Canis lupus familiaris: one gene and its partners. The protein of the gene in region 1 purifies or fractionates together with the protein of each later gene. This does not show direct contact. Links are inferred from orthologs where the notes say so. Each region holds a gene or a part of one and is shown in the gene's direction. Other genes may lie near its edges.

Region 1 (4,258 bases):
TTTTGCAATAACTGCCGTGATTATTATTAAACAGGCCATTGAATCTATCCAAAAAACTTACAACACTTAACTCCTTACAGGTCTACAGGGCCCTAAGGAACACGTCTGCCAGCTCTCAGATCTCATGGCCAGCAACGTGGGATTCCTGCCACCCGTCCTAAACCAGGGCCTTTGCACTTGCTGTTAACTTCGCCCACATCTCCCTTCCACAGAGATCAGCTTTCGGTGGGATCCGATTTCAACTCTTCTTTATTCTCTAAATAACCCCACTTTCACTGCCCAAGCCCTTTATTATGTCCTGTTTTTCTCAAGTAGGCTCCACCCCCACCTGGGGCTTAAACTCGAGTTATGTGCTCAGTCAACCAGGTGCCCCTGCCCTATTCTCAACTTTGCTGGCCATTGTCCAAAATTTATTGTTAAAAATATTTTATTGATTTATTCATGAGAGACACACAGAGAGAGGCAGAGACACAGGCAGAGGGAGAAGCAGTCTCCTTGCTGGGAGCCCGATGTGGGACTAGATCCCTGAGCCGAAGGCAGACGCTCAACCGCTGAGCCGCCCAAGAGTCCCCAAAATTAATTATTAATTAATTAATTAATTAATTAATAGAGAGAGGCAGAGACACAGGAATAAGGAGAAGCAGGCTCCATGCCGGGAGCCTGACACGGGACTCGATTCCGGGACTCCAGGATCGCGCCCTGGGCCAAAGGCAGGAGCCAAACCGCCGAGCCACCCAGGGATCCCCCAAAATATATTCTTTTAAAATGCCTTTATCATCTCCTCCCATACAATGTAAGCTGCAAGAAGAAAAAGACTTTGCCTTCCTCAGGTACTAGATCTTCAGAGCTCAAACAGCGTCTAGCACACATTAGCCGCTGGATGAACAGTCACTGATTTAACAGGTTAGACGTCAACGTAATGACACCACTCACGTAGGGACTCTTTGCCAGGCGGCGGAGGGGTATTTTATCGTACACGACATCACACGCATGCGTACAAGACCCGGGAAGTGTGTTGGGGCGGAGCATCGAGGAGTCTCGCGCTTAGAGGCAGTTGGACTCAGAAGCGCAAGGTGGAAAGGGTTACTGCTTGGTGCGGTACCCGCGTGCGCACTGCGGCCTGCAGCGGCTGCAGTAAAGGAGTTTAAGGTGCCCGGGGGCGGGGAAATGACCTGGCGCGTGCGCAGTGCCCGCGTCGGCGCCAGGTCCCTGTGTATGGGTTGGGCTTAATCGCGCGGCGCGTGCGCAGCGCGGCTGGCGGAGGGATTTGGGGCTGGTCCCACCCCTTGCCCCTGTCGCGAGCCGAGGCCGCGCGGGCTCGTGAGCAGCGGTCTGGTCCGCGCGCTGGGCGGGCGACGGAGGTAGACGGACGCAGACGCCGCCAGAGTCGAAGTCAGAGCAGGAGCCTCTGCTGCTGAGGGGCCGCCGCAGCCGCCGCGAGCCCCCGGACCGTCGCCAGGCCGAGGAGGGCGCCGCGCGGCGGGTAAGTGTGACTGACTGGCCTTACCGGGTGCGGAGCCGCTACCCATAATCCCCTGCGGCGGGCCCCAGTTTTTTCCCCGCGGCCGGGCCCCCTTCCCGCGCCACCGCACCTCTCTGCACCCTTACCCAGAGTCCTCTGGGAATCTAGGCCCTCTTCCCGCAGCTCTCCCGCGGTCCCTTTCCCACAGGCCTTCGCGGCGTGTTGCCTTTTTCTCCTCGCCTCGGCTCTGGCCTGGACCCTTACCCACAATTCTTTTCGCCGGTGGGGGGCCTGGATCTATTACCCACAAGCCCCTGGCTCGAGGGGCTTGTTGCTTTTGAGCCTCTTCCCTTGATTGGAGACTTCCTGCTACTCCCGCCCCCGTAACCTGTTTTTCAGGGGTGCGAGACCCCCAGCCGCCATTGCTTTGGACCTCTCTCGTAAGAATCAAGTTCCCCGCAGGCTCCCAAGGAACCTCTGAGCACCCGCCCCCCCCCCCCGCCCCCGGTCTTCTTGCTCGGGACTTTGAGACTTAACTAATCAGGAACTTTTTCCGTCTTTGTTTTCATTATAATCCAACCAGGCTCTTACAGAATCTATTTGCATGCTGAGATCTTGCTCCTCTTTCTCTTTCTTGGGAGTCAAGGGATTATAGAGGCCTCATCTCTACCCAGTCACCCTAACATAAGGCTGCCCTGCTTCTGCTCTCAGACTTGGCAAGATGACCCAGTTCCTGCCGCCCAACCTTCTGGCCCTCTTTGCTCCCCGTGATCCTATCCCATACCTGCCACCCTTGGAGAAACTGCCACATGAAAAACACCACAATCAACCTTACTGTGGCATTGCACCCTACATCCGAGAATTTGAGGTGAGTTCACTGAGCAGACTTGTGGTTTGGGTTCTGGGGGCCGGGGAGCTGGATTTGGGAGTCCAATTTCTAGACTTTTTCTAGCTGTGCAATTTAGTTAGGGGACTTTTTTGATCCTCTGTTTTAAATGGGGTTGGTAATGCATTCTTCCTAGGGTTTTTGTGGAAACTGAGTAACTAGCTGTTGAGGATTCAGGCTCTGGAGTCAGGCAGTCCTTGGCACAAACCATTTATCAGCTGTGTGACTTTGGGCAAGTGTTGTATGCTCTTGGTGGATTTCTTCATCTTTGCAAGGGATTAATAGTATTTTCCTCATAACATTGGCAGGGAATTAACTGCGAAACTCGGCACAGGGCTTGGCACCAAGTAGTCCGCAATTGTCAATGTTACCATGTTTACCGGTTTTGTTATTAATGGGATGGTGTTTGTATGGGCTTGAAGATTTCAGCTCTGCAATTGCAGGGTAAACACAAATATGTGACTATGGCTTCTGAGCCTCAGTCTTTTCATCTGTAAAATGGGGAAAACGGCATCAGAGGTGCATCAGAGTGATCGCTTCCGCAACACATATACTAAAGAAAGAGGTGTATCAGAGCACACCTGAGAAATGCTGGCACACAGCCAGAAGTCAGAAGGGAAAGTTCTGGTGTCAAATAAGAAAGGGCAGCTGAAGGTGGAGGAAGCTGCAGAGCAGAAGTTAGTGGAGAGATAACAGAAGATTGATGGATTCTTTAGTAGGATTTGCCACCCTTGGTGAACCGGTCCTTAGGAAATGTTATTAGCTAATTAAACTAATTTAATGGCTACAGGCCCGTGGCACCCTTGATGATGCAGGTCATGGGGTAGTTACAGTTTAATGAGCGGTTGGTGAGCCCTTCGAGAACTGTCCTGGTCCTCAGAAGGTGTCCAGTTACTGCTTTTGAACTGTTCTGTCAGCTCCTTTGGCTTCAGCCCTGGTCCCAATCTCCACCTGTGATAAAGGATTAATCTTTTGCAGAGTGATGATGTTGATAAATACAAAGTTATTTTGACTCTTAGTATCCTTAAAAATTCTAGAATAAAGAATTAGATTTTTATTAAGTTTAGTAGGTATAAAACTATTCTATTTGGTTGCTATAGAAGTTTCTGAGTTCTTATTTCTGTACCTCTCTTGTCACAGACCAGCAACAGTTTGAGGACAGCATTGGTCCATGGATCGTGCTTTTGATCTTTGCTATTCTCCCAGGTCCATTGGTCTGGGAGGTGTCCCATGTTTGCTTGTGTGTGGTGGGTGGGGAGGGGGAGGTGAGTGGCTGAGGTGCTTAATGTTTTCTGGATGGGTGTCCCTTGCAACTCCCTGTCCCTCCCCACCTGTCACCTCTTCTTTTTCCTAGGACCCTCGAGATGCCCCTCCCCCGACTCGAGCAGAAACCCGGGAGGAACGCATGGAGAGGAAGGTATATAATTTGCACCTCTTGGCCCCACATCTTTTTTGCCACTTTCTAGCATGTTTCCTGACATCAGGGCACTTCCATCTGCATTCAGTTGTCCACTTTTCTTCTGACAGAGACGAGAAAAGATTGAACGGCGACAGCAGGAAGTGGAGACAGAGCTAAAAATGTGTAAGTTTCTCTTCCTCTCCCATCTCTTCCTCAGACCCTTTTGCTTTTCTTTCCCACTGATCCACCCCAGGTCTCTAATTTGGGAAGGTGGGATGGTTCACTTTTTTGAGTTTACAAAGTTGGCCAAACACCATGTTTGGTTGAGGCATTTAAGGAGTACAGCATGGGGTCTGGGTTGGTAAGAGGGAGCCTTAGGACCTAGGACCTGTGTCCTACAGGAGAGAACACTCAGAGGGGCCATTACAACCCAGTTTAGTGTCATGGGCTGAAGCAGTGAAGCAGTTACGGCTCCATTTTCACTCCTTGACCTTTGTGCTAGGGATTTTCC
Region 2 (3,968 bases), about 5.8 Mb from region 1:
TCATCTCTGCTGCTGGGGACTGGGCCAGCTTTCTCTAAGGCTTCCTTCAGGAGCTGGCTCTTCTCCAGGCCAAAGACATGAGGGGGAGCCAGCCCCCTGACAGGGGGTGGAGGTGGCAGAGGAGGGGGTGGGATAGGGGCCTGGAGACTTGCCGGGGGTGGAGGAGGAAGTGGAGTGATGGGGGCTTCGGGAACAGGGGTCTGAGGAGCGGCTGGGGGCTCTTCAGGAGGAGGGCACGGAGAAATCATTTTGGGGGTCTACAGCATGCAAGTGCTGGGAGGTCAAGAATGGGAGACGGTTGGAGCCTCTAAAATAGGTTTGTCGCTGGGATGGACGTTCTGAGGGTTTTAGAGCGAAGTTCCAGAACTTGACTGCTGAGCGGTGGGACTCAAAAGAACCAGGACTGACATTTGGACTCAAATCATCAGGGGATCTAAGAAGTTAACAGGGCGGGTCCTTTATCCGCAACTAGATCTTGGTGTGGGGTTGGGCTGCAAGGCTCAAGGTGGGGGGGGAGGGTAGTTAAGAGTTACTGTATTATCCGGAACGAGGTTTGGAAACTCGCGAGTCAGTTTTGGGAAAAGGAAGGCCCCGCTCGGGTGGGATTCGGGGGCCGGGGCTACAGACTAGGGAATTTAGGCTCTGAAACCCCTCACATCCCGGGCCCCAGTTCGGAACCTTGGAGCTGACCTTTGAATCAGCGCTCAAGAGATCAAAAAACACCCGGCAAGGAGAATGACTTAGTCGTGGAGAAGGTGCTGGAATCAGCGCAAAAGGAAAAGTCCTCTGGGTTGGGGAAGGCACAGAGACGGGAGGGCGCTGGCAGCCGCGACACCGCTGGGAGCCGCAGGCGAGCCGGAAGATAAAGCCCGCCTCCCCTTCCACCAAAATGGCGGCCGCAGCACACATTTTTCCCGTATCACGTGGCGGGGCCCGCGGCTCGTGCCCTTGGAGGGTCACGTGACGAGAGAAGGCGGGGCGGGAGAGGAGAGGCTTTCAAAGGACTGCCCCCGGAAGAGACTGAAGCGCGAGCGGCTTCCCCATTGGCAGGAAGCGCGTGAGGGGGCGCGGCCTTCGCTGATTGGTCCGTAGACCCTCGGTGCAGCGTCGGGCGGGGCTTTCCTACCGAGGCGGGAACCCAAATGTCGTTTTGATTGGCAACCTTTGGACCCAGGGGCGAGGCTGGCTCTGATTGGTCAGGCTACTGAGTTTCCGCGCGGGATTGGCCTGCAGAAAGCTAAAGGCGGGACCAAGAGAGGAAGCTTTTGTAGTCGGCTCTCAGAAGCGCAGGAGGCGACGCTTGCGGGAACTGCGACTCTGTTGGTGAGTAGTCCTCGGGCGCACGCGGCCGTGGACGCCGGGCGGGCGGAGCGCTTGCCGCCTGGGCTTTCTCGTGCCTCGTGTGGGGAAATTCACTTGCCGCTGCGCGAAGTTAGGGCGCCAGAGCCGTCTCCTGAACTGGCTCATGTATCCGGGTTTTTTCTCCTGGGCCGCCCTTTGAGCTCGTGAACCAATGAGAGTCTCCGCTTAGGACGCTCCGCCTACTGGACCCCGTAGAGCATCCTGGGACTCGTAGTAAGCCTCTCGAGATTTCCTTCTGGTAACCACGCGGGGAGCAGCAGCGGTGTCCTGCTTTCGCTTTGTTTCCTAGCTGTACTTCCTTCCCTGCTCTCCGGACTTCCTCCTGGAAGGAAGATCCCCATCCCCGAGCAGCTCGTTAAGCCTGCTTTAGGGCAGAGGATTTGGAGAAACCCGGGGCTGAAGTTAACCTTTTCCCCCTTCTTTCAGCATTACCTCGGCACCTCTCTCCATGGCAGTTCCCGAGACCCGCCCCAACCACACTATTTATATCAACAACCTCAACGAGAAGATCAAGAAGGATGGTGAGTTGGGATAGTCCAGACTCCAGGTTGCCTCGCACGAGCCGGCCCCCTCTTCCAGCCCTCGAATTAACTTCTCTTCCTTTTCTCCAAACTGTCGAGTTAATCCTGAATTCAGCCTTTGCACACGCTGCTTCCTGTGTCTTTAACGCTCTTCCAGCCCGTCTTCTACTCTGGCCATTAGCCTGGTCGCTTTTGTTCATCCTTCAGGGTTTCAACTCACAGGACTCCTCCAAGAATCCTTCGCCGGCCTCTTTCCCCCCAGGTGCCTTGCCCCTGACTTCCCATAGGCCCTGGATATCTCCCGCTCAAACCCTCAATTGTTTTTGGGCTGTTGTGGGGCTGTCTGCACAAGTCTGTGAGCTCCACGACGGTAAGCGCCTGGACGGCCTTGTGTTCTTAATGATCAGCGCACAGTGGAGGTGTTTCATTTCAAAAAAAAAGAAATGATAATACGATGGCTAACACTGTCCTTAGGCACTGATACATACGACTTTATTACATTGAATTCTCGACAATTCTTCAGTAAGGAGCTATTACTCCCTATTTCTCAGGCGGGGGTGATGTGAGTTGCCCAAAAGTCACACAGCAAGGTAAAGTGGTTGAGGCCACCAGCGTGGAAATACTGCTTAAGAACTCGATTCTTAACGTTCATTGGACATATTTTTTCGTTTCATTTATCATCTCATTGAATTTCATTTTTTATATTTGAAAGTTGAACAAATCCCCGGTATTTCTGTGCGTGAATGCTTTGTGGATTAAATTAGCTGAATATCTGTCTGTTAGTTAAGTTTGGATAAAATTTGTCTTTTTTTGTCACCTTAAGAAAATTCTCAGGAGAACCAAAGGAAGGAGTTTGCTGGGATTAATTTTGAGGTTACCAATAAAGTTAACTGTTGAGGAAAATGGACCAAGCTATGTAAATCCCCATGTGCTCTTAGAGTATCATGTGCAGCCAGTACCATGTGGTGCTGGAGAAACACTGGTGACGGACAGTCCTGGTCCTGCCTTCATGGAGCCACAGTCCAGTGGGGGAGACTGACCTTCCAGTGATTGCCCAGAGTAGCCAGGGCCATGATGGGGAAAGCACAAGCAGAGTGGTCAGGAGGGATTTGGCACCTAGACAGAGGAGTTTGGACTCTTTCATAGAAAAGGAGACATTTAGGGGCACCTGGGTGGCTCAGGTTGTGTTCCTGGGGTCCTGGGATCGAGTTCCATATCAGGCTTCCCACAGGGAGCCTGCTTCTCCCTCTGCCTATGTCTGCGCCTCTCTCTCTCTCTCTCTCTCTCTCTCTTTTTTTTTATGTCTGCCTCTCTTTGTCTCTCATGGATGAATAAAAAAATCTTTACAAAAAAAAAAAAAAAGGAAAAGGAGACATTTCAGAAAGCGTTTCCAGATAGAGGAAGGAGTATATATATTGTGCAGAAGAAGAGTGTTCCGAACCCAGATCTATGTGTCCAGGTGCCTAGGGGCAAAAGAGAGCCTGGGGCATTCTGGAAAATACAAGTAGTTTTGTGTGACTGAGGCTTGTGACACAGGCAGCACCTTCTAGTGAGCAGTGCACTGATGGTTCATGGGATCCTGTGGGCAGGTAGGCCATTAGACTTTGTCATGAGGCCATCAAGGAGCCAGGTAAGGGACCCTCTGGTGTGAGGACAACATCAGGAGGGTGAACTTGAGTGGGCAAGAGGGGAGGAGGGAGAGAGGCCCAGGGGAATGTCGAGGGCCAAACAGATCATGTGGGTGGAGGAGGGAGAGAAATACCAGAAATGGAATCAGGAGGGTGCCTGACTGGTTCAGGTGGTCGAACATACCTTTCGGTATGTCCTGGGATCCAGCCCTTATCAAGACTCCCTGCTCAGTGGAGAGCCTGCTTCTCCCTGTTTCCCTCATCCTGCTCATGTGCATGTGTACTTCTTTTCTCCTCTCCTCTCCTCTCCTCTCCTCTCCTCTCCTCTCCTCTCCTCTCCTCTCCTCTCCTCTCCTCTCCTCTCCTCTCCTTCTTTCTTTCTTTTCTTTCAAGATTTTATTTATTCATGAGAGAGAGAGGAGCAGAGACATAGGCAGAGGGAGAAGCAGGCTCCTCA
Region 3 (3,814 bases), on another chromosome or scaffold:
GCGTCGAGGGGAGGGAGATGCGCCTTCTAAAGAACCAGGTACCACTAACACAGGGCAGCCTAGCAGCCCAGAGCCATCTACAAAGCAGCCTAGCAGTCCTCATGAAAAAGATAAAGAGAAGGAGGTATGTTTCTGAGTTAATGGATGTTTATTGGGTTGCAGGGTTAGGATGGATGTTTAAAGAGAAGGAAAGAAGTGAATTTGGTTCTTTTTGATCAAGTTCTCTTTTGTATTTACAAATTCTTCAGAATTCTGGTTTTCAGACTGCTGGCTATTGATAGGTTTTATGTCATTGTCCTTTAATGTGTTTATATACAGTCTGGGTAAAAGTTTATTTTTTCTAAATTATGTTTAGCTTTACTATCTGTGATATCTAGGCTTTTTTATTTCCTTAAATGCTCGTTTCCAACCCACTGGGTTGCTGCCTGCAATTTGAACACGCTACTATACCTGTGCTTTAAGTATGTGTCGTTTTATGGGTATTCTGATTGAGCCTTATTCACAATGTTTTCTTACTTCATAAATTCCATAAATAGTTTTTTGCTAAATTCTTAGCTCTTTGTTCTTTTTTTCACGTCATCAAGTTTTCTAACTACAGGATGGATCACTTCAAAAACTTAATGTTTTTTTTTATATTTAAAGCTCTTATAACTATACCAACTGTAGTCTTATTTACATAAGTCATGTCCTCGAACCTTTGCCTTTGTTTTTTATTTCAGTATTCTTTTTCAAGGGTGAAGTTAGATGCCTCCCACTTTAAGGGAAATTGCTTTGCTTCTCAATTTAATAAAAGTGCCTTTTTTTTATGTTGCCATGGCACTTTGTTACGGTTGTTAGAAAATGTCATATGTTAGTTTACATTGTGTTTTTTCTAGATAATAAGACTTTTAAAGTGATAGCCTGTCCATATTTTCATGTTTTCCCCACTGTCTTTTTATACGGTCTTTCGTTAATGAATGACTGCCTGTGGTGAGAAAAGGACCAGTTGGTGTGATGGGGTGTGTGAGAGGAAAATTTCATTGGAAAGGGTGTTTGGGGTCTTTTAGGTAATAGGAAGTTCTGGTGCTTATGTTCCTATCCATACTTTCTTTTCCACTCTTAGAAATCTGGAATTCGACCTAGCCCCTCTCCGGAAAGGAGCAGCACAGGCCCAGAACCACCTGCTCCCACTCCGCTCCTTGCTGAGCAACATGGCGGCTCCCCACAACCCCTTGCAACAGCCACCTTAAGTCAGGAGCCAGTGAACCCCCCATCTGAGGGTTCCCCAACCAGGGGCCGTTCACTACCTAAGTCTCCTGAGAAACCTCCCCAGTCTTCTTCAGAGAGCTGCCCACCATCCCCTCAACCTACCAAAGTTTCTCGACATGCCAGCTCTTCCCCTGAAAGTCCTAAACCTGCACCGGCTCCTGGGTCCCGCCGAGAGATTTCTTCTTCTCCCGCATCCAAGAGTCGCTCACATGGCCGGGGAAAGCGGGATAAGTCACATTCTCATACCCCTTCTCGAAGAGTGGGGAGGTCCCGTAGCCCTACTGCTACCAAGAGGGGGCGATCTCGGTCTCGAACCCCTACCAAAAGGGGTCATTCTCGGTCCCGGTCCCCTCAGTGGCGTAGGTCCCGGTCTGCACAGAGGTGGGGACGTTCCAGAAGTCCCCAGCGACGTGGCCGCTCTAGGTCTCCTCAGAGACCAGGCTGGTCTAGAAGCAGAAATACCCAGAGAAGAGGCAGGTCTAGATCAGCAAGGCGAGGCAGGTCACACTCTAGATCCCCAGCCACTAGGGGCAGATCACGTTCTAGAACACCAGCCCGTCGGGCCAGGTCTCGCTCTAGAACACCTGCCAGGCGGAGGTCACGATCCAGGACACCTGCCAGACGTAGGTCACGCTCTAGAACACCAGCCCGGCGGGGCAGGTCTCGCTCTAGAACACCTGCTAGGCGCAGATCTAGGACCCGGTCGCCAGTACGACGGAGGTCTCGTAGCAGATCACCAGCCAGGAGAAGTGGCAGGTCACGCTCTAGAACCCCAGCCAGACGGGGTCGGTCACGCTCTAGAACCCCAGCCAGAAGAGGGAGATCTCGGTCTAGAACACCTGCAAGACGAGGACGATCTCGGTCTAGGACACCAGCAAGACGAGGACGATCTCGGTCTAGGACACCTGCAAGACGAAGATCTCGTAGTAGAAGTGTAGTTAGACGAGGAAGATCTCACTCTAGAACACCACAAAGAAGAGGCAGATCTGGTTCATCATCAGAACGGAAGAACAAATCCAGGACGTCACAGAGAAGGAGCAGGTCCAACTCAAGCCCAGAAATGAAAAAGTCTCGCATTTCTTCAAGGCGGAGTAGGTCTCTTTCTTCACCACGGTCCAAAGCAAAATCTCGCTTGTCTTTGAGGCGAAGCCTTTCAGGATCATCTCCATGTCCTAAACAAAAGTCTAGGACACCACCAAGGCGCAGTCGCTCTGGATCATCCCAACCAAAAGCTAAGTCCAGAACACCACCGAGGCGAAGTCGGTCTGGTTCTTCACCTCCTTCTAATCAGAAATCTAAGACACCATCAAGACAGAGTTGTTCCAGTTCATCTCCTCAACCTAAAGTGAAGTCTGGAACACCACCAAGGCAAGGGTCTGTAACAAGTCCCCAGGCAAATGAACAATCTGCAACACCACAAATACAGAGCCGTTCAGAATCATCACCTGACCCTGAGCTGAAATCTGCAACCCCTTCAAGACATAGCTGCTCCGGGTCCTCTCCTCCTAGAGTAAAATCTAGCACACCTCCGAGACGGAGCCGATCTGGGTCATCCTCTCCACAACCCAAAGTCAAGGCAATAACATCACCAGTCCAAAGCCATTCTGGCTCTTCTTCTCCTAGTCCTAGTAGGGTGACATCTAAAACACCGCCAAGGCAAAGCAGATCAGAGTCTCCTTGCTCCAAGATGGAATCTAGATTGTTGCAAAGACAGAGCCGTTCTAGGTCCTCCTCACCAGATACCAAAGTGAAACCTGGAACACCACCAAGACAAAGTCACTCAGGGTCTACTTCGCCATGCCCTAAAGTAAAGCCCCAAACTCCATCAGGGCACAGTCTTAGTGAATCAAAATCACCATGTTCCCAAGAGAAGTCTAAAGACTCACCAGCACAAAGTTCAGGATTCTTCTCTCTCTGTCCAGGAATAAAGTCTAGCACACCACCAGGAGAGCTGTATTTTGCAGCCTCCTCTTTGCAACAGAAAGGACAATCTCAAACTTCACCAGATCCTAGATCTGATACTTCAAGCCCAGAAATGAAACAGAGTCATTCTGAGTCTCCATCTCTGCAGAGCAAATCTCAGACACCTCTTATGGGTGGCCGGTCCAGGTCCTCCTCTCCAATCACTGAGCTGGCACCCAAATCTCCAGCAAGACCAGAAAGAAGGGAATTGTCAAGTCCTAGGCTAAAATCTGGACTGTCTCCTGAGCAAAGCAAGTCCCAATCTGACTCTTCCCCATATCCTGCAATGGACTCTAAATCTTTTCTGGGGCAGAGTAGATTGGAGCCTTCTGAATTGAAAGAGAAATCAGTCTTACTCCTTCAGGAGGATTTTACTGCATCGTCTCCCATACCAAGAGACAAATTGAGTCCTCTTCCAGTGCAGGATAAGCCTGATTCCTCACCAGTACTCAGAGAAACACCTAAAACCCCGTCAAGGGAAAGAGGTGGTGTTGGATCATCTCCAGATACGAAAGACCAAAGTGCGTTAGCTAAGCCAAACCAAGATGAGGAATTAATGGAAGTGGTAGAGAAATCTGAAGAATCCTCAAACCAGGTTCTCTCC
Region 4 (3,814 bases), on another chromosome or scaffold:
TGTGGTTTGTAGGCTCTAGCCCATTGACACTGTGCGTTTTTCACAAAGGAGGCTGGGGAGAAAGTATGGAGGTCAGATCAAGTCCTCATCTGGCAAGGAAACCTAAAAGTGGGTGATAAATAGATCAGAGGTCAGGAATTAACATTCTCTATAACCATAAGATAGTACCTTGTTCTGCACTCTACGTGCTTGGTATCCTTCACCTTGTGAGAAAAGTAGCATCATTATCATTCCTTTTTTCAGATTAAAAAACTGAGGCCAAAAGCACATAACCAGGCTGTAAGAAACTGGGCCTGACTCCTGAGTCTGGGTCTCTACGGCCTAAGTTACATTGCATTGTTTAGGAAAAAATGCTACTGCCATGGGGATGGTTAGTGACAAGTTGGTCATTTTATAAAGGTAACCAGGAAATAGGACATTGTAAGGACTGTTCTTGTGACAGTTGTCAACATTGATACTCTCTATCTCAGAGTTAATTTCTTAGGTATTTTACTTTAGTTTTCATACGCAAATAAAGGTAATGAAGGTGAAACTTTTCTAAGAGTTTGACCAATAAAATTGTTAATATACTTTGCATTCATACAGTTTCTTTTATTGTGTTTGATGATGTTTATCTATCCGAAGTTCTTTCTTGCTTGATTTCTGTACTTGAAACACGGGGTCCAAAACAAATGATTTTAAAGTTAATTTTAAAACATGTAAAAGAGTTGCGTTATCACATCATAGTTTGCATGGTGTCCTTTCACTTTTGTTGAGACAAAATCAATACAGTGTGTAAGATCATATATTGCTGTTTTAATCAACCTTGCACTGACAGGTAACAATGTTACCGTGATCACAGGAAGTCAGATCTGAGGCGCTTTTGGTCTAAGTGAATAGGTTACTCTTGTAAAATGGATCCCTGGAGTTCCCCTCTCGGGGGATCTCAAGCCGGCAGAGTGTCCACAAGGGATCGCTGCAGAAGGCTTCCTTAAGGCCCCCTGGGGGCTGTGTGTTTGCCCACAGGGCCCGCGACTACTCTGCACCAGTCAACTTCATCAGCGCCGGTCTCAAGAAAGGGGCAGCAGAGGAGGCTGAGCTGGAAGATTCGGAAGATGAAGAGAAGCCTGTTAAACAGGATGACTTTCCTAAGGACTTCGGACCCAAGAAGTTAAAGACGGTAGCATCTTTGGCTCAGGCTTGTGACCTTTGAAATGTCTGTGGGAGGTCGTGGCAGTTCAGGCATCTCCTACAGGAAGAGGGGGGCGCTTGGTAGAAGCTGGTTATGTGGGTTTCTCCTCGTGGTAGTGGGTCCCTTCGGGGGGGCCATGCAACCTCTTTGCTGACACGTCGTGCAGCTCTGCTTTTGGTTCGTATGACCCTTTTCATGATGCTCTGCCAGGTCTTTTTCCCATCATCCAAGTTTGCTTTCTTAGGTTTTTCTTTTTCCATCAACTAAGCTTTGGGTTTTTTTCTGCTCAGGGTGGCAATTTTAAACCCAGCCAGAAAGGCTTTGCAGGAGGAACCAAGTCTTTCATGGATTTTGGCAGCTGGGAAAGACACACAAAAGGCATTGGACAGAAGCTTCTTCAGAAGATGGGCTACGTCCCTGGAAGGGGCCTGGGGAAGAACGCACAAGGTAGGGCACCAGCACCCTGCAGCCGAGCAGGAGGTTGGCAAGGCAGAGGAAGGAGGAACGGTCTGGGGAGTGGTTTGCTTTTTCTCTTTTTTGGAGGATGTGAACTCTGCAGCCTGGTTTGCCAGCACCAGACGGTTGTTCTCAGCTACCTGCTTTGTCACACTCAAAACACTTCCTCTGCAGAAAAAAAAGGCTTAGGCTTTTTTAGGAAAAGGCTCAAACAGGCTACAAACAAACAGGCTGCTTTCTTTGGCCTGTCCAGTGTTTCTTAAGAAATGAGCTTGTTGGGGATCCCTTGGGTGGCTCAGTGGTTTAGCGCCTGCCTTTGGCCCAGGGCGTGATCCTGGAGTCCCGGGATCGAGTCCCACGTCCGGCTTCCTGCATGGAGCCTGCTTCTCCCTCTGCCTTTGTCTCTGCCTCTTTCTCTGTCTCTCATGAGTAAATAATATCTTAAAAAAAAAAAAAAAAAAAAAAAAAGGAAAGAAAGAAATGAACTTGTTGCCAGTATTTTAAATAATTTTACATAAAGTTTTTGATTTGCCTGGCAGCAGTTGGTTTTAGCTGCCGAGGACGGTGCTCACGGCCTCTGGAAAGCAGCTTCCAGCATTCCCTGTTGGCTTTTGTCCTGGCACGCTTCACTTTACGGCAGTTTTCCTGGGCCCTGGAGGCAGAGGAGTCTAACCTTCCCTGCTCACAGTTATTTGTCCTTCAGGAGTAACAATGAAATGCTGTGTGTAGCCTGTTCAGCAGTAGAGACTGTAAACCTGGCTGAGCAGATCCCGCACTGGGGCCTCTGTTGGTGCTCAGCGGCCCAGCCTCCTGTCCCAGGCACTGTCCACACAGCTCTACTCACAAATCCCTGTTTCCTTGATACCAAAGCTACACAGACCATGCACTTGGGTTCTTCCTGCAGGACCTTGCTTTCTCTCTCCTTGATCTGTTTCCTGTGAGCAGTCACCAAGTGGATGTAAACAGTAGTAGTGTCAATAATCCAGATTCCACTCCCTGAGTATTTGCTCAGGTTACACCTGGGGTATGTGTTGAACATATCAGTTGTAGGGAAAGTCCAAGAACCTCTGTGGAGTCTGGAGGTGGTGACCTGGAATGAGCACGAGTGGACCGTCCTAATTCAAGATTGCCAAAGTACTAGCTGTAGGGGTGGGTAGGCAGTCTTTGTTGAAATGCTAATGTCTTGTCTCTAAACTCTTGGAACAAAAGTTATTTCCAAGGTTTATACTCACTACGAAGCAAGTGAAGTCTGGGAGACAGGAGCTACCAAGTGATACGAGGTCTCATACTGAATTGCCACTTTACCTCCCTTTATTCTGTGAGAGTCTGTAAATCACTTGTCTTTTTTTGTTTTTTGTTTTTTTAAAGATTTTATTTATTCATGAGAGACACAGGGCGAAGGAGAGGCAGAGACACACAGGCAGAGGGAGAAGCAGGCTCCATGCAGGGAGCCCAATGTGGGACTCCAAGAAGAATCCAAGTGTAAATGAAAACCTGTACTTAGACTATAAATAACCTAATGTCAGCAACCTGTCGTGTGGCCCATAAATGCTCAGAACTTTCACATCACATGGAAGCTGAAGTGTTGCAGGGGCAGAGGAGAGCTTGCCTTCCTGGGTTGTCACTCTGTGTCAGGACTAAGGAAGGGCAGTTCCACTGTGTGGCTTGTCCAAATGCAGGAATCGCTGTGACCTGAAGTTGTTTTCTCTTCTGCTGAACTTTATCAGGTATCATTAACCCGATCGAAGCGAAGCAGAGAAAGGGGAAAGGTGCCGTGGGAGCTTATGGCTCAGAACGCACCACTCAGTCCCTACAAGACTTCCCCGTGGTCGACTCAGAAGAAGAAGCAGAAGAGGTAACTGGGAATCAGGAGTCAGGGTGGCTGGGGCCTGAGCCACTTCAGACCGTGGCTGCTTAGTTCGTGTATCTGTTTGTCCGTCTGCCAGCCTTCAGGTGTTCATTGTACACCTCTGTGTCAGCCACTATGCTGGAGCGGGGCTGCCCTGTGAGGAAGGGTTGGGAGCCCGGGCCCCAAGCCAGGCAGTTGACAAGCAGCTGCAGGGTGGTAGTGAGCGCAGGGAGCGCTGAGACGTGCCAGCGAAGGAAGTAAGGGGGCAGTGGTAGTGAGGTACATAAATCAATAGAATGGCCAGGGAAGGCCCCTCGGGCCGGGAACCATCGGGGGAT
Region 5 (3,814 bases), on another chromosome or scaffold:
GAAGTCTAGAGCATTTCAGAAAAGATTTCTTTGCCTTGTATCCAAACACAGTGCTTTTGGAGCTGCTAATGTGATTTTTTTATTTATCTTTGTATACTTATTAAACTTCAGTTAAATTTTCAATAGTGCTGCACAGTTGGTGAGCTATCCAGGGAAGAACAAGATCCCCTTGAACTACCACATAGTTGAGGTATGTGTTCCACATGGAGCATGTTTCTAAGTTTCAGAATCTTTCTATGGATTTGAAAGTTAATAACTCTTGGCTTTTTTTTTTCCCCTTGCAACTTGTCAGGTACTGAAAATTAACACAGGAGCAAGAAAATTGCTGTCAATTTTGTGCTCTCTTAGCCATGTTAGTAAAAACAAAAGTGGAGGTTGAGGCCAGTAGCCAAATGGAATTTTGCAGTGCCTCTAAATTATTTATATAGCATGTCTTCATTCATGGATAGTATAAGTTACCTCCAGTCTTGTGAGTACACTGTCCACTTATCAGATAGATAATTGGCTTGAATACTTTAAAATACCATATTACATAGGCAGATAACTGTGTTTATCTGGCCTCTTATTACCAGCATACCCCTGACTAGTATATTATTATTCCCTGTATCACACGGTAGGGAGAGATAGGAGTCTTTATTTATTCCTAGAAATTAGAAGAGCCCATTGTTTTTGAAAGTAGGAAGAATCAATAATACTTTCGACCCCATATCAAGTCATGCGGAGGGGTGAACACCTTGTAGAGGTTTAAGTCTCAAAATAGCATTCACTTATTATTACAGATTCACTTACTGTTCATACATGTATTTGTGTGCTTCCCCAAAAGTACTGCATTTGTCCTATCTTATAAAACTTTAAGAGTGTATTTAGGCTATGAACTTGACTCATTGACACGTCAGTTGAAATGCAAAATATAGGTCATAATTTCGAATCTGGAAAGTGTAAAATTTTATCAGAAGGGAATACAGAGGGATGGGAGATGGGAATGAGAAGAAAGAATGCAGACCAGGTTTTAGAATTCTAGGTAGGTGGTTCATGAATTATATAGGGAGGGCAGAAACAAGTTTCTGAACAACAGCGGTGGCAAAGTAATCTTTTTCTACCAAAGAGATTGCCAGGCACTGGTTTTTAAGTAGCAGCCTGGAATGACTTGACTATCTTCTGTTCCTGTCTTCAGAATCTAATGAGGGTTTTTACTGCTTCTAGGAGTGAAACTGATGGATCAGTGAGTACCTGCCTGAATCAACTCTGATACTTCCAGAGTAGGAATTTAATTGCACTATTCTCTGGGAGTATCAAATAAGCATTAATTTCTGCATATTCTTATTTGATTGAGTTATAGAACGATGAAATTTTCATTACAGTATTCAATTGCAAATCTCCATGTCTTAAAGAGTATAGTTTCTAAAGATTATAAAGTAATTATTTTTTCATTATGAATGCCATGGAGTTAAAGAGTTTACGTTTAAAATGTTGATCTTTCTGATGGAAGTACAAAGATACTTGTTGAACAGCATTCTGACTCATGGTTCTTTTATAGGTGATTTTTGCAGAGCTGTTTCAGCTTCCAGCACCCCCGCACATTGATGTGATGTACACAACACTGCTTATCGAGCTGTGCAAACTCCAGCCTGGCTCTCTACCCCAAGTTGTATCCTTTCCTTTGTTTTTAAACTTACTCTCTTTGACCTGGCTTTAAAAGATTATTAAATGTTTCTTACTGTGGGGGCCATTTCTTCAAAAGTTAAACATAAGTATACCACACAGTCCAGCCACTCCACTCCTAGGTATTTACCTAACAGAAATGAAAACACATATCCCTACAAAGACTTGGACATTAAGTTCATAGAATCTTTATTTGTGGGACACCTGGGTGGCTCAGTCAGTTAAGCGTCTGCCTTTGGCTCAGGTCATGATCCCGGAGTCCAGCGATCAAGCCCCCCGTAAGGCTCCCTGCTCTGCTTCTCTCTCTCCCTCTTCCACTCCCCCCTGTTCCTACTCTCTGTCTCTCTCTCACTCTCTCTCAAGATCTTTTAAAAAAGAAAAAACTTTATTTGTAATACCCCAGAATGAGGCAATCCAAATATCCATCAGTACATGAATGAATATACAAATTTGCCATATCTATACAATGGAAAACTACTCAGCAATAAAAAGGAACAAATTTTTGGTGCAGGCAACAACTTGAATGAATTGCAAATTAAGTAGGATGAATAAAAGTTGTCAAACAAGAATTTATACTACATGATTCCATTTACACAAAATTATAGAAAATGCAAAGTAATCCAGTGACACCAGACCAATATTTGCTTGTTGGGGGAGGAGGAAAGAGGATTACAGAAGAGCATGGGGAAAGTTTGGAGGCGATATAAATATTCACTGTTTAGTTCAGGGTTGTATACAAGTCAGATTTATTGTATATGACTGATAACTGCAGCTGTTTTTAAAAAAATCAATTACATGAAAAGATGCTCAGCATTGTTAGTCATCATGACTTCTAAGAAATGTTATGTTCTGTCACAACTTATTTTGAGGGAGGATTCAGAGTAGTTTTCCTTATCCTCAAATTCACAGCTTGCACAGGCAACTGAAATGTTATATATGCGTTTGGACACGATGAACACTACATGTGTAGACAGGTATAGTAATTGTCTTATTTCTATACTGATTGCAAGAAGCATCTATTCCCTGTACTGTATAAAAGAATTTAATCAGCAAAATATTTGCCTTTTTAGAGAATTTCTAAGTTGATTTTTCTTTCTTGTCTCCCCAAAATAACCCTTTGTATAATAATAAAATTTATAATGTAACATCATGCTTTCTACTAACTTCCAATAGGAAATGATGGCCATACTGAGGTTTTCTTTAATTTCATTCATTATTAAATTTTTTTTTTTTGTGCTTTGGTATAATTATACTTTTTCCTTTGTAATTCGGTATGTAAGATTTTAAAATAAACTTTGTACTCACCCCTGTGCACAAGCAGAACCTAATATTGTGTATTTATTATGTATAAATATATATGTATTTTTGTTTGTTTATAGATAGTATCTTTTTCTTAAATAATTAGCTTCTACATAACTACAGCTTGAAGACTCAGTTTATACAAAAGACCATTTTGGATTTTTAGAGGTGTGGTAATTGCATGTCCACTGTCTTTTGACGGAGACCCGTCTACCACTTTTATCAGCTGGTATCTTTCTTACCTCTGTTAGTGTCCACAGTCAGATCGACCCAGGTACTGAACACTTCTCCAGTTTCCATGATCTTTCGTGTCCATTGTTCAGATTGCATATCTGAAAATTATCATTAAGCACTGTATCAGACCTGAGTCAGTGATTGAAATTATAGATCTATGAGGGACATGCTCTAAGATAGCATCTTCTGATTTTTCTCCCAATCTCATAAAACTAGGAGTTGCACAACCCAATTATGTTATTGAAATTCAGCAAATATATATTGGGCTCTCGCAGATTTTACAACATTACACAGTATGCTCAGGTGATTTCTATCTAGTTAGATCAGATGTATTTTTAGGGGAAAAGATGTATATTTTGTGGTGAAAAGGGCATAGTGTGGTGATGAGACACTACACTTTGCCTCTGCCATTTATACAATTATCTGCAGTTCCTTTAATCTTTTTTTTTTTTTTTTGCCTGTTTTATTGTCCACGAAATGGGGAAAATAGTACATTACTTGAAAGTTATTGTGAGAATTCGGCTACAGACACACACACGTGTGTGTGTATATAGTGCGTGGCACAAAAAAGGCACTCTATCATTTCTGTTATTCACTTAAAAAGAATAATACTATTAGA
Region 6 (3,814 bases), on another chromosome or scaffold:
ACCCATTGCTCATCACAGCAAGTGCACTCTTTAATCCCCATCACCTATTTTTCACCCATCTCCTCACCCACCTGCCTTCTGGTAACCATCAGTTGGTTAGTTCTCTATAGTTAAGAGTCTGTTTCTTGGTTTCTCTCTTTTCTCTCTCCCTTTCCTTTTTTTCTTTTTTCCTTGCTGGTTTGTTTTGTTTTTCTTAAATTCTACATATGAGTGAAATCATATGGCATTTGTCTTTCTGTGACTTATTTTACTTAGCGTTACGCACTAGCTCCATCCATGTCTGTTGCAAATGGCAAGATTTCATTCCTTTTTATGGCTAAAGACTGAATAATATTCCACTGTAGAGTGTGTGTGTGTGTGTGTGTGTGTGTATTGCATCTTCTTTATCCATATGCACACATACATACATATATACACAGAAACATACATATGCCACATCTTTATTCATTCATCTATCCATGGACACTTGGGCTGCTTTCATAATTTGGCTATTTTAAATAATGCTGCTCTAAACATAAGCGTGCATGTGTCCTTTGAGTTATATTTGTATTTTTTTTGTGTAAATGTCTAGTAGTGTGATTGCTGGATTGTAGGGCAGTTCTATTCATACTGTTTTCCACAGTGGCTGTACCAGTTTGCATTCTTACTAACAGTTCAGAAGGGCTCCTTTTTCTCCACACCTTCACCAACACTGGTTTCTTGTGTTTTTGAGTTTAATCATTCTGACAGGTGTGAGGTGATATCTCATTATAGGTCTTAAAACAATTTTTTTTTTTGACTAAGCTCCACTCCTAATGTGGAGCTTGAGCCACCAGCCTTGAGATCAAGAGTCAGATGCCCTACCAACTGAGCCATCCAGGTGCCCTTATCTCATTGTAGTTTTGATTTGCATTGCCCTGATGATGAGCGATGTTGTGCTTCTTTTTATGTGTCCGTTAGCCATCTGAATGTCATCATGGAGAATTTTGTCTGTTAACATCTTCTGCCCATTTTTCTTTCTTTCCATTTTTTAATTGGATCATTTGTTTTTTGGTGTTGAGTTCTTTATATATTTTATCAGATATGTCACTTGCAGATATCTTTTCCCATACAGTAGGTTGCCTTTTAGTTTTGTTGATCATTTCCTTCAGTGTGCAAAAGCTTTTAACTTTGATGTTAATTCCCATAGTTTATTTTTGTTTTTATTTCCCTTGCCTCAGACTTACCTAGAAAAATGTTGCTACAGCTGATGTCAGGGACATTACTGCTTGTGTTCTTTTCGAGGATTTTTATTAGGATTCCAGTTTAAACAGAAAAAAATGATTATCTGATGGATGAAGCCATGTAAACTTGGAGAATGCTTTAGTAGCTGTTGGCAATTCTTAGTTTGTATTGTAATGAGAGAGTGAATAGACTGATTTCTGTTGCTTTATTGTCTTTCTACAAACTTACACAGATTTCTACAGCTTTAGCTCTTGAGCATGCATGTTGTTATAGACTAAAGTTTTCAACTTTATTGAAATGCGGCAAATATTGCATATCTGTAATAATGGATATAAAAATAATTTTTTAAGGCTATACGAGAGGCAGAACGTGTAAAGGAAATGAAACGAATGCACAAAGCTGTCCAGAAAGATCTGCCAAGACCATCAGAAGTAAGTGTTAGAACTTCTGGCTTTGGAAGTTTTAAGTTTCTTCTTTGTGATTGCTGTTTTTATGTCATTCATAAAGTCTGTAAAACAAAATTTTATCTACTTTCTGGAATGTAGTAAAGCAGTTGCAGATCTAATCTTTAAAATGTTTCACTGGTACAAATAAGACTTTAGAAGGAAAAAAATTTTTTTTTAAAATGTAAAACTGCTATTTAATTCATGCTAGGGCAAGTAAGTAATAGCATCAGTATTGCAGTGATCTGTTTGTTAATGGTACTTGTTTTAAAATTTTAGGTAAATGAAACGATTCTAAGACCCCTAAATGTAGAACCACCTCTAACAGATTTACAAAAAAGTGAAGAACTAATCAAAAAAGAAATGATTACAATGCTTCATTATGACCTTCTACATCATCCTTATGAACCATCTGGAAATAAAAAAGGGAAAACTGTAGGATTTGGTACTAATAATTCAGAACACATTGCCTATCTGGAACACAACCCTTATGAAAAATTCTCCAAAGAAGAGCTGAAAAAGGTATGATTAAACAGAAATATTTTGGTCTTGATTAAAGTATTGGTTCAGTACTGTGTATCATAGATGAACAGTAGCTTATTTTCTGAGGCTGATATTTATAAACAAATGAATTTGTAATTAGGAGATAGCTGGTCATATGACGTGTTAGGAGGACGACATACTTGACCATGCCCCTTTCCCCTTTCTTGATAGAGCTTCTTCAGGTGAACACTAGCTTAGGTGGCAAGGTGTTTTTGTTTTATGGGTATATGCCTGATGGACAGTTGCTACAATTGCCACTTCCTGTGTTCAACTGCTATTTCTGAGTAGAATTGAATACCTTTAATACTTCAACCTGGGGCAGTCCCGTGGCGCAGCAGTTTAACGGTGCCTGCAGCCCAGGGTGTGATCCTGGAGACCCGGGATTGAGTCCTACGTCGGGCTCCCTGCGTGGAGCCTGCTTCTCCCTCTGCCTGTGTCTCTGCCTCTCTCTCTCTTGCTTTCTCTCTCTCTCTCTCTCTGTGTCTCAATAAATAAATAAAATCTTAAAAAAAAAACAAAACTTAAACCTCATTTAGATTAATATGAGAAAGCAAGCACATATTCAAAATGTTTCTTTCACCTAGTCAAAGAAAGGAAATACCATTTACTGAATTTATTCCTTTTACTTGATTTCCCACTATTCTTTTGGATAAGGAAATAGAGAAACGTTTTCCTGTAGAAAGTCTCTCCTGCCTCTTCTCCATATGCATTTGATTATTTCTGCTTTGACAGAGCAAACAGCTATGATTGTGAATAGAAATCATTTCTTCCATGGTATGAGGAAATACAGTGGGTGCCATGGTTGGAAGCAGAGTGGTCATTAGCCATTAGTCTTTTTTTCTGTAGTGCTTAGCCTTGAGGAACAGACAGACCCGTTGTTGGAATCTGCTATTGCATACTTGGGAGGAAATCCATAAGATACCTTTTTCTGTCTTTTCTTGTGCTTTTCTTCTGTCTTATTCTTTCCATTTTCCTTGTTGAGAAGTAATATATGTTTATTAAAAGATTTTGAGAAAATAGAGAAAGGAAAGAGGATTTATTTAGATTTATATTTAAACAGTTTGCCTGTGATTTCTGAGGATCTGAGTTATTCATTTTAGTAAGTGTGACGGGAAACTGACATCTGTTGAGGGCCTCTTGTGGCAAGCACATTTAATCATTGGACTGGGGTTAAGAATTACACTCTGAATTCTGTACTTGAACAGTGTTCTTTTTTCGGAGGGAAAATAGGGGAAGATGGGATCAAGGGGTTTACTGTATTTATGGAAACCAAAATAAGGATCACATTATGATCTGTTGTAGCTTAATAGAAGATTCTGTAGGGGATAGATTCTAATAAAGTTTTTGAAAAATACGTAGTGCTTTGGAATTATTTGAAACCATTACAGGCTAGTTTAAATATTCTTTTATATTTTATGTATGTATTTATATTCCTCTCCGTTCCAAAAAGGATTTGAAACAGCTATTTACTTAGATTCTTTATGGAGAGTTTAAAGATAACTTAGTCATACTCTCTTCTTATAATTATAGGAGCTGATTTTATAAATTTTTATTATGTACAGTTTGGGAATGAAATACCATTTCTCTTATGAAGTGTCAGATTTTCATTAAAGATGTTACAATTG
Region 7 (4,242 bases), on another chromosome or scaffold:
GGAGGGAGGGGTAGGCCTGACAGACAAAGGAAGGCCCTCTGCTGGCAAGGCTGGGACCCTCTGTGTCCCAGGAGGTTCTGGGGAAGGCTAGTTGCCAGGAGCCTTTGGGGTCCAGATCCCAAGAGTCTTTGGATGAGGGGCAGTGAGGGAAGAGGGAAGGGCATTAGGAAACACAAGCTATCCTTGAAGTGCCAGGTGTCTAAGGGGCCCTGGAAGAAATGGAAAGAGTTATGGATGGAAGCGCCTGTCGTCTTGAGTGCTGTTATCCAGGCTAGGCTTCCTGCTGCTGCTGCTGACTGTTCATTTTGGACCCTCGAAGGCTCAGCACTGGTCCCATGGCTGGTACCCTGGAGGAAAGGGAGCTTCCAGCTCAGCCCAGCCACCCCCACCTGCCCCCAAGGTGGGTTAAAGGTATCCCCCGCCTGAGTGGGAGGAAGAAGGTATTAGCTGGGGCTCCTTCACCTACTGTGAGCCTAGGGTAGGAGCAGTGGGCAGGCCACAGCCTTGGCTCGTTTCTGAGGAAGGGTCCTGGGCACTGCAGCAAACGGCCCAGACCAGACCGCCCATAACCTCCCAAGCAATTCCCTGGCTCCCCCTGAGAACAGTGTGCCCTGGGAGGGCAGAACTACAGGCTGGTGGCCCCTCTGTAGAAAGCAGCACCTGGTGCAAACACTGCTAGTAAGTACAGGGAGAGGCCTGGCATTGGCCAGCAGGGGCCATTGTGGCTAAGGACTTGGGGGATATGTGGACAAAAGAGGGGAGTAATGAGCTAAAACTGAGACGACCCCTGGGCACACAGCAGGATGCTATCTGCTATCCTTCCTATTTCCCAGAATTCTAGACAATTTATGATAAGATACTTATGTTAAATTAAAAGAAGTAACTAGTGGAGTGGAGAGAATTCTACTGAAAACCTCCATAAGACAGTGGCTGTACTAGGGTCCTCCAGGCTTCTTTCTTGTCAAGAGAAGCCCATATGTCCGGAGGTGAGCAGCCCCTCAGTGAAAAGAGGTGAGGGGTGTGAACTTACACTATTAGGTAAGGGGGTCCCAAGAACCAAGGCTGACGCACTAGAAATGCAGTGATTGCAGAAGACCAGTGTGCAGCGATGGATTATTATTACTATTTTGCATTTATTTTAAAGTGCACGGGAAAGCCATAACTGAAGGAGAAAAAGTAAATTCGTATTAGGCAAAAACATTACGTAATTTAAGTTGGTGTGAGCTCAGGTTTTTACAAACCAGGTTTGTTTGGGGTGGGCAACGCCCAGGGAGCTCCAGAGCCCCCACGCTGGGTTCCCTAGCCGGCAAGGGGGTCCTCAGGACGAGAGAGCAAGCTGGCCGCCTGGCGGACCAGGTCGGGAGAGGTGAGGGCGGGCAAGGTCGCAGGCGAGCAGCCTGGTGACCAGGGCGTCCTCTGAAATGATCACCTCCTCCCCCCACAGACTGGACCTAGAGCACCGCGCCCTGTCGCCTTCCAATAAAGATACGAAGCCCCTGAAGCTGCTGCTTCGAGCTCTCTCCTCTGTCCCGTCCCTCGCCCACCCGCTCTGAGACTCTCCAGCGCGGGGGTTGGGGGACGTGGGCCCCGCCCGCCGGCGGGAGGGACGCGGGGCGGGGCGGGGCAGGCCCTGCAGGGAGGGTGCGGCCAAGGCCCGGGCCCGAGGACCCCGCGGAGGTGTGCCTGCGCGCGCCGCCCCGCCCTACGGGCTCCCGGGGGTGGGGGCGGGGCCCGCGGACTACGCGTCCCGTGGTGCCCCGCGGTCGTCTCCGGGCCCCGTGATGCCCTGCGGCGCGCCGGAACCGGGAAGGCTGCGGCCATGCTTTGCGCGCTGAGAGTTTGGGGCGCGGGTCCCCGGTGGGGGCCTCCGGCCCCGCTGCTGCTCCTCGTGCGCGGCCGCAAGACCCGCCACGACCTTCCGGCCAAGTCCAAGGTCGGGCGCGTGGCGACCCCGCCCACGGTGGATCCCGTAGAGTTCTTCGTGCTGACGGAGCGTTACCGGCAGTACCGCCAGACGGTGCGCGCCCTCAGGTGTGTGTGACGGCGGGGGCGGCCGCCGGCGCCGTGGGCTGTGAGGCGGAGGGCGGGCGGAGAGGGTGCCGACCGCGGGCCTGTCTCCGCCCAGGCTGGAGTTCGTGACTGAGGTGCGGAAGAAGGCGCACGAGGCCCGGGCCGGGGTCTTGGCAGAGCGCAAGGCGCTGCAGGATGCCACCGAGCACCGCGACCTGATGGCCTGGAACCAGGCGGAGAACCAGCGGCTCCACGAGCTGCGGTGAGTGGGCCGGGAGGCGGGGCAGGCCGCTGGTGGCGCGGGGCAGACCCAGCCGCGCGCAGTCTCAGCCTCTTGCCCTCGCCCCCACCCCAGGTTAGCTAGGCTGCGGCAGGAGGCGCGGGAGCAGCAGCAGCGGCAGGCGGAGGAAGAAGCCCGGCGGGCCCGAGAGGCCCAGGCCTGGGCGCAGCTCAAGGAGCAGGAAGTGCTGCAGCTGCAGGTGGGTCGCGTCTCCGGGCCTGGAGCTAAGGGCCGGGAACAACTCCTGGGCGGCAGTCCTGGGCGCGGCGCAGTGGGACACTGGCCAGCGCACTGAGGGAGCGAGCAGCCTTGAGGCTCAGTTAGCAGGTGAGGATTTGGGGGAGGAGTGCAAAGAGAGTGACGGGCGCAGACACCCAGAGGTGAGAGTTGACATTAGAATTGTAAAGTATCCGAGTAGCTAGGTGGCGGTAAGCCCGCCTCTTACCCCGGAAGGGCCCCCAGTTCCACAAGGAGTTGGTATTTTGTTTTGCGGGTATAGTCATTGAAGTGTTAATATTTTGGGCTAGGGTGGCAGGTGTGAGACTAAAAAGCAGGGAGACCATTTGGGAGTGATCCATTAAGAGTGGATGAGGTCTGAATTAAAGTAATGGGGGGGTGCGGAGAACAAGTTTGACAGAGATTAACGAGGGACATTGAGGCAACATTCAACCCAGTGGGACTCGAGATTGTCACAACTGGTGTGCTTGGAGTTCTGGCTGAGATGTCCAGTGGATAATTATCTAAGAGGAATATGATAAGGCTGCCTGATACTCTTCCACTGGAAGGTCACAGAGGACCTGGGCTCCAAGCATCCATCCAGAGGGAGAACTGGAGACTCAGTGGGCTAAAGGTCAGCAGGCCTGTGCTGGAGACTTCCATTCAGTAGCTTTCTGTCTCCCAATAGGAGGAAGCAAAAAATTTCATTACCCGAGAGAACCTGGAGGCACGGGTGGAAGAAGCATTGGACTCGCCGCCGAAGAGCTACAATTGGGCCATCACCAGGGAAGGGCTGGTGGTCAGACCACAGCATAAGGGCTCGTAAGGGTCCAGTAAGGACAGTGCCCACCCAGGGACCATGTGTGTATGGGGTAGGAGGGTTGGGCCTGATCTGGAATAGATCTGTTGATGTTGCTTAGGAAGAAGGAGGCTCAGCCTATTCCAGTGTCCTCCTCACATTCTGCCCTGCACCCACCACCTGGTTGGCAGTTCCCATACATACTGTCCTGTTCTACACCCATGTACGACTCAGCAAAGCAGCAGACCTTAGAGGTTTCCAGCTCACAGTGGCTCACAGTGGCGCAGAATGGACCACAGTCCCCTCGATCAACTCGGTCTAAGTGTCATCAAGGACATGGACAGAGGTTGGCAAATTACAGTCCTTTGGCCCAGTTTGTCCTACTGCCTGTTTTTGTAAATAAATTTTATTGGAACACAGCTACATTCATTCATTGACTACTTTCACACTATAATGGCAGAAATGAGCTGTGTAACAGACTATTTGACTTGCAAAGTGTAAAAAATATTTGTTACATGGGTTTTTGTTTTTTTTTTTTTTTTAAGATTTTATTTATTTATTCATGAGAAACAGAAAGAGAGAGGCAGAGACACAGGGAGAGGGAGAAGCAGACTTCATGCGGGGAGCCCAATGTGGAACTCGATACTGGGACTCCAGGATCACACCCTGGGCTGAAGGCAGACGCTCAACTACTGAGCCACCCAGGTGTCCCATGTTACATGGGTTTTTAGAGAAGTTTGCCAACTCCTGATCTAGAGCTTTAGGACTCTAGCCAGAGTATCCAGGTAACAAAAGGGCAGCAGAGACACAAGCTAACCACTGGCCAAAGACCCGCTTCTGCTTGATCCTAAGATTTGCCAGCTGAGGTCTGGTGTGCCCAAGGCACAGAAGTAAGGAAGAAACCCCATTTCTTTATCAGTGGCCCTTTCTACCCAAG

Evidence for each region.
Region 2: the proteins of SNRNP70 (region 1) and SNRPA purify together in Homo sapiens (affinity purification with mass spectrometry; 4 studies listed by BioGRID and IntAct, counting the BioPlex papers as one, with this or other methods). This does not show direct contact. The link is inferred for Canis lupus familiaris from reciprocal best matches to the Homo sapiens genes SNRNP70 and SNRPA.
Region 3: the proteins of SNRNP70 (region 1) and SRRM2 purify together in Homo sapiens (affinity purification with mass spectrometry; 3 studies listed by BioGRID and IntAct, counting the BioPlex papers as one, with this or other methods). This does not show direct contact. The link is inferred for Canis lupus familiaris from reciprocal best matches to the Homo sapiens genes SNRNP70 and SRRM2.
Region 4: the proteins of SNRNP70 (region 1) and TFIP11 fractionate together in Homo sapiens (co-fractionation; 3 studies listed by BioGRID, with this or other methods). This does not show direct contact. The link is inferred for Canis lupus familiaris from reciprocal best matches to the Homo sapiens genes SNRNP70 and TFIP11.
Region 5: the proteins of SNRNP70 (region 1) and NCBP1 purify together in Homo sapiens (affinity purification with mass spectrometry; 3 studies listed by BioGRID and IntAct, counting the BioPlex papers as one, with this or other methods). This does not show direct contact. The link is inferred for Canis lupus familiaris from reciprocal best matches to the Homo sapiens genes SNRNP70 and NCBP1.
Region 6: the proteins of SNRNP70 (region 1) and CDC5L purify together in Homo sapiens (affinity purification with mass spectrometry; 3 studies listed by BioGRID and IntAct, counting the BioPlex papers as one, with this or other methods). This does not show direct contact. The link is inferred for Canis lupus familiaris from reciprocal best matches to the Homo sapiens genes SNRNP70 and CDC5L.
Region 7: the proteins of SNRNP70 (region 1) and MRPS26 purify together in Homo sapiens (affinity purification with mass spectrometry; 3 studies listed by BioGRID and IntAct, counting the BioPlex papers as one, with this or other methods). This does not show direct contact. The link is inferred for Canis lupus familiaris from reciprocal best matches to the Homo sapiens genes SNRNP70 and MRPS26.

The regions. Positions count from the first base shown.
Region 1 is NC_049222.1:108,027,872-108,032,129, reverse strand, and holds the start of SNRNP70 (U1 small nuclear ribonucleoprotein 70 kDa), read left to right. Parts: upstream 1-1,279; 5' UTR 1,280-1,483; intron 1,484-1,639; exon of another isoform or gene 1,640-1,902; intron 1,903-2,173; 5' UTR 2,174-2,183; coding exon 2,184-2,330; intron 2,331-3,511; exon of another isoform or gene 3,512-3,554; intron 3,555-3,702; coding exon 3,703-3,765; intron 3,766-3,875; coding exon 3,876-3,930; intron 3,931-4,258. UniProt on the Homo sapiens protein: Component of the spliceosomal U1 snRNP, which is essential for recognition of the pre-mRNA 5' splice-site and the subsequent assembly of the spliceosome. SNRNP70 binds to the loop I region of U1-snRNA.
Region 2 is NC_049222.1:113,812,185-113,816,152, reverse strand, and holds the start of SNRPA (U1 small nuclear ribonucleoprotein A), read left to right. Parts: upstream 1-1,168; 5' UTR 1,169-1,323; intron 1,324-1,788; 5' UTR 1,789-1,810; coding exon 1,811-1,883; intron 1,884-3,968. UniProt on the Homo sapiens protein: Component of the spliceosomal U1 snRNP, which is essential for recognition of the pre-mRNA 5' splice-site and the subsequent assembly of the spliceosome. U1 snRNP is the first snRNP to interact with pre-mRNA.
Region 3 is NC_049227.1:38,744,197-38,748,010, forward strand, and holds part of SRRM2 (serine/arginine repetitive matrix protein 2), read left to right. Parts: coding exon 1-124; intron 125-1,102; coding exon 1,103-3,814. UniProt on the Homo sapiens protein: Required for pre-mRNA splicing as component of the spliceosome. As a component of the minor spliceosome, involved in the splicing of U12-type introns in pre-mRNAs.
Region 4 is NC_049247.1:20,591,748-20,595,561, reverse strand, and holds part of TFIP11 (tuftelin-interacting protein 11), read left to right. Parts: intron 1-1,005; coding exon 1,006-1,159; intron 1,160-1,461; coding exon 1,462-1,618; intron 1,619-3,354; coding exon 3,355-3,482; intron 3,483-3,814. UniProt on the Homo sapiens protein: Involved in pre-mRNA splicing, specifically in spliceosome disassembly during late-stage splicing events. Intron turnover seems to proceed through reactions in two lariat-intron associated complexes termed Intron Large (IL) and Intron Small (IS).
Region 5 is NC_049232.1:55,290,564-55,294,377, forward strand, and holds part of NCBP1 (nuclear cap-binding protein subunit 1), read left to right. Parts: intron 1-126; coding exon 127-190; intron 191-1,537; coding exon 1,538-1,648; intron 1,649-2,571; coding exon 2,572-2,636; intron 2,637-3,814. UniProt on the Homo sapiens protein: Component of the cap-binding complex (CBC), which binds cotranscriptionally to the 5'-cap of pre-mRNAs and is involved in various processes such as pre-mRNA splicing, translation regulation, nonsense-mediated mRNA decay, RNA-mediated gene silencing (RNAi) by microRNAs (miRNAs) and mRNA export.
Region 6 is NC_049233.1:12,997,298-13,001,111, forward strand, and holds part of CDC5L (cell division cycle 5-like protein), read left to right. Parts: intron 1-1,553; coding exon 1,554-1,634; intron 1,635-1,925; coding exon 1,926-2,168; intron 2,169-3,814.
Region 7 is NC_049245.1:18,667,015-18,671,256, reverse strand, and holds MRPS26 (28S ribosomal protein S26, mitochondrial), read left to right. Parts: upstream 1-1,728; 5' UTR 1,729-1,819; coding exon 1,820-2,031; intron 2,032-2,125; coding exon 2,126-2,272; intron 2,273-2,365; coding exon 2,366-2,489; intron 2,490-3,194; coding exon 3,195-3,332; 3' UTR 3,333-3,724; downstream 3,725-4,242.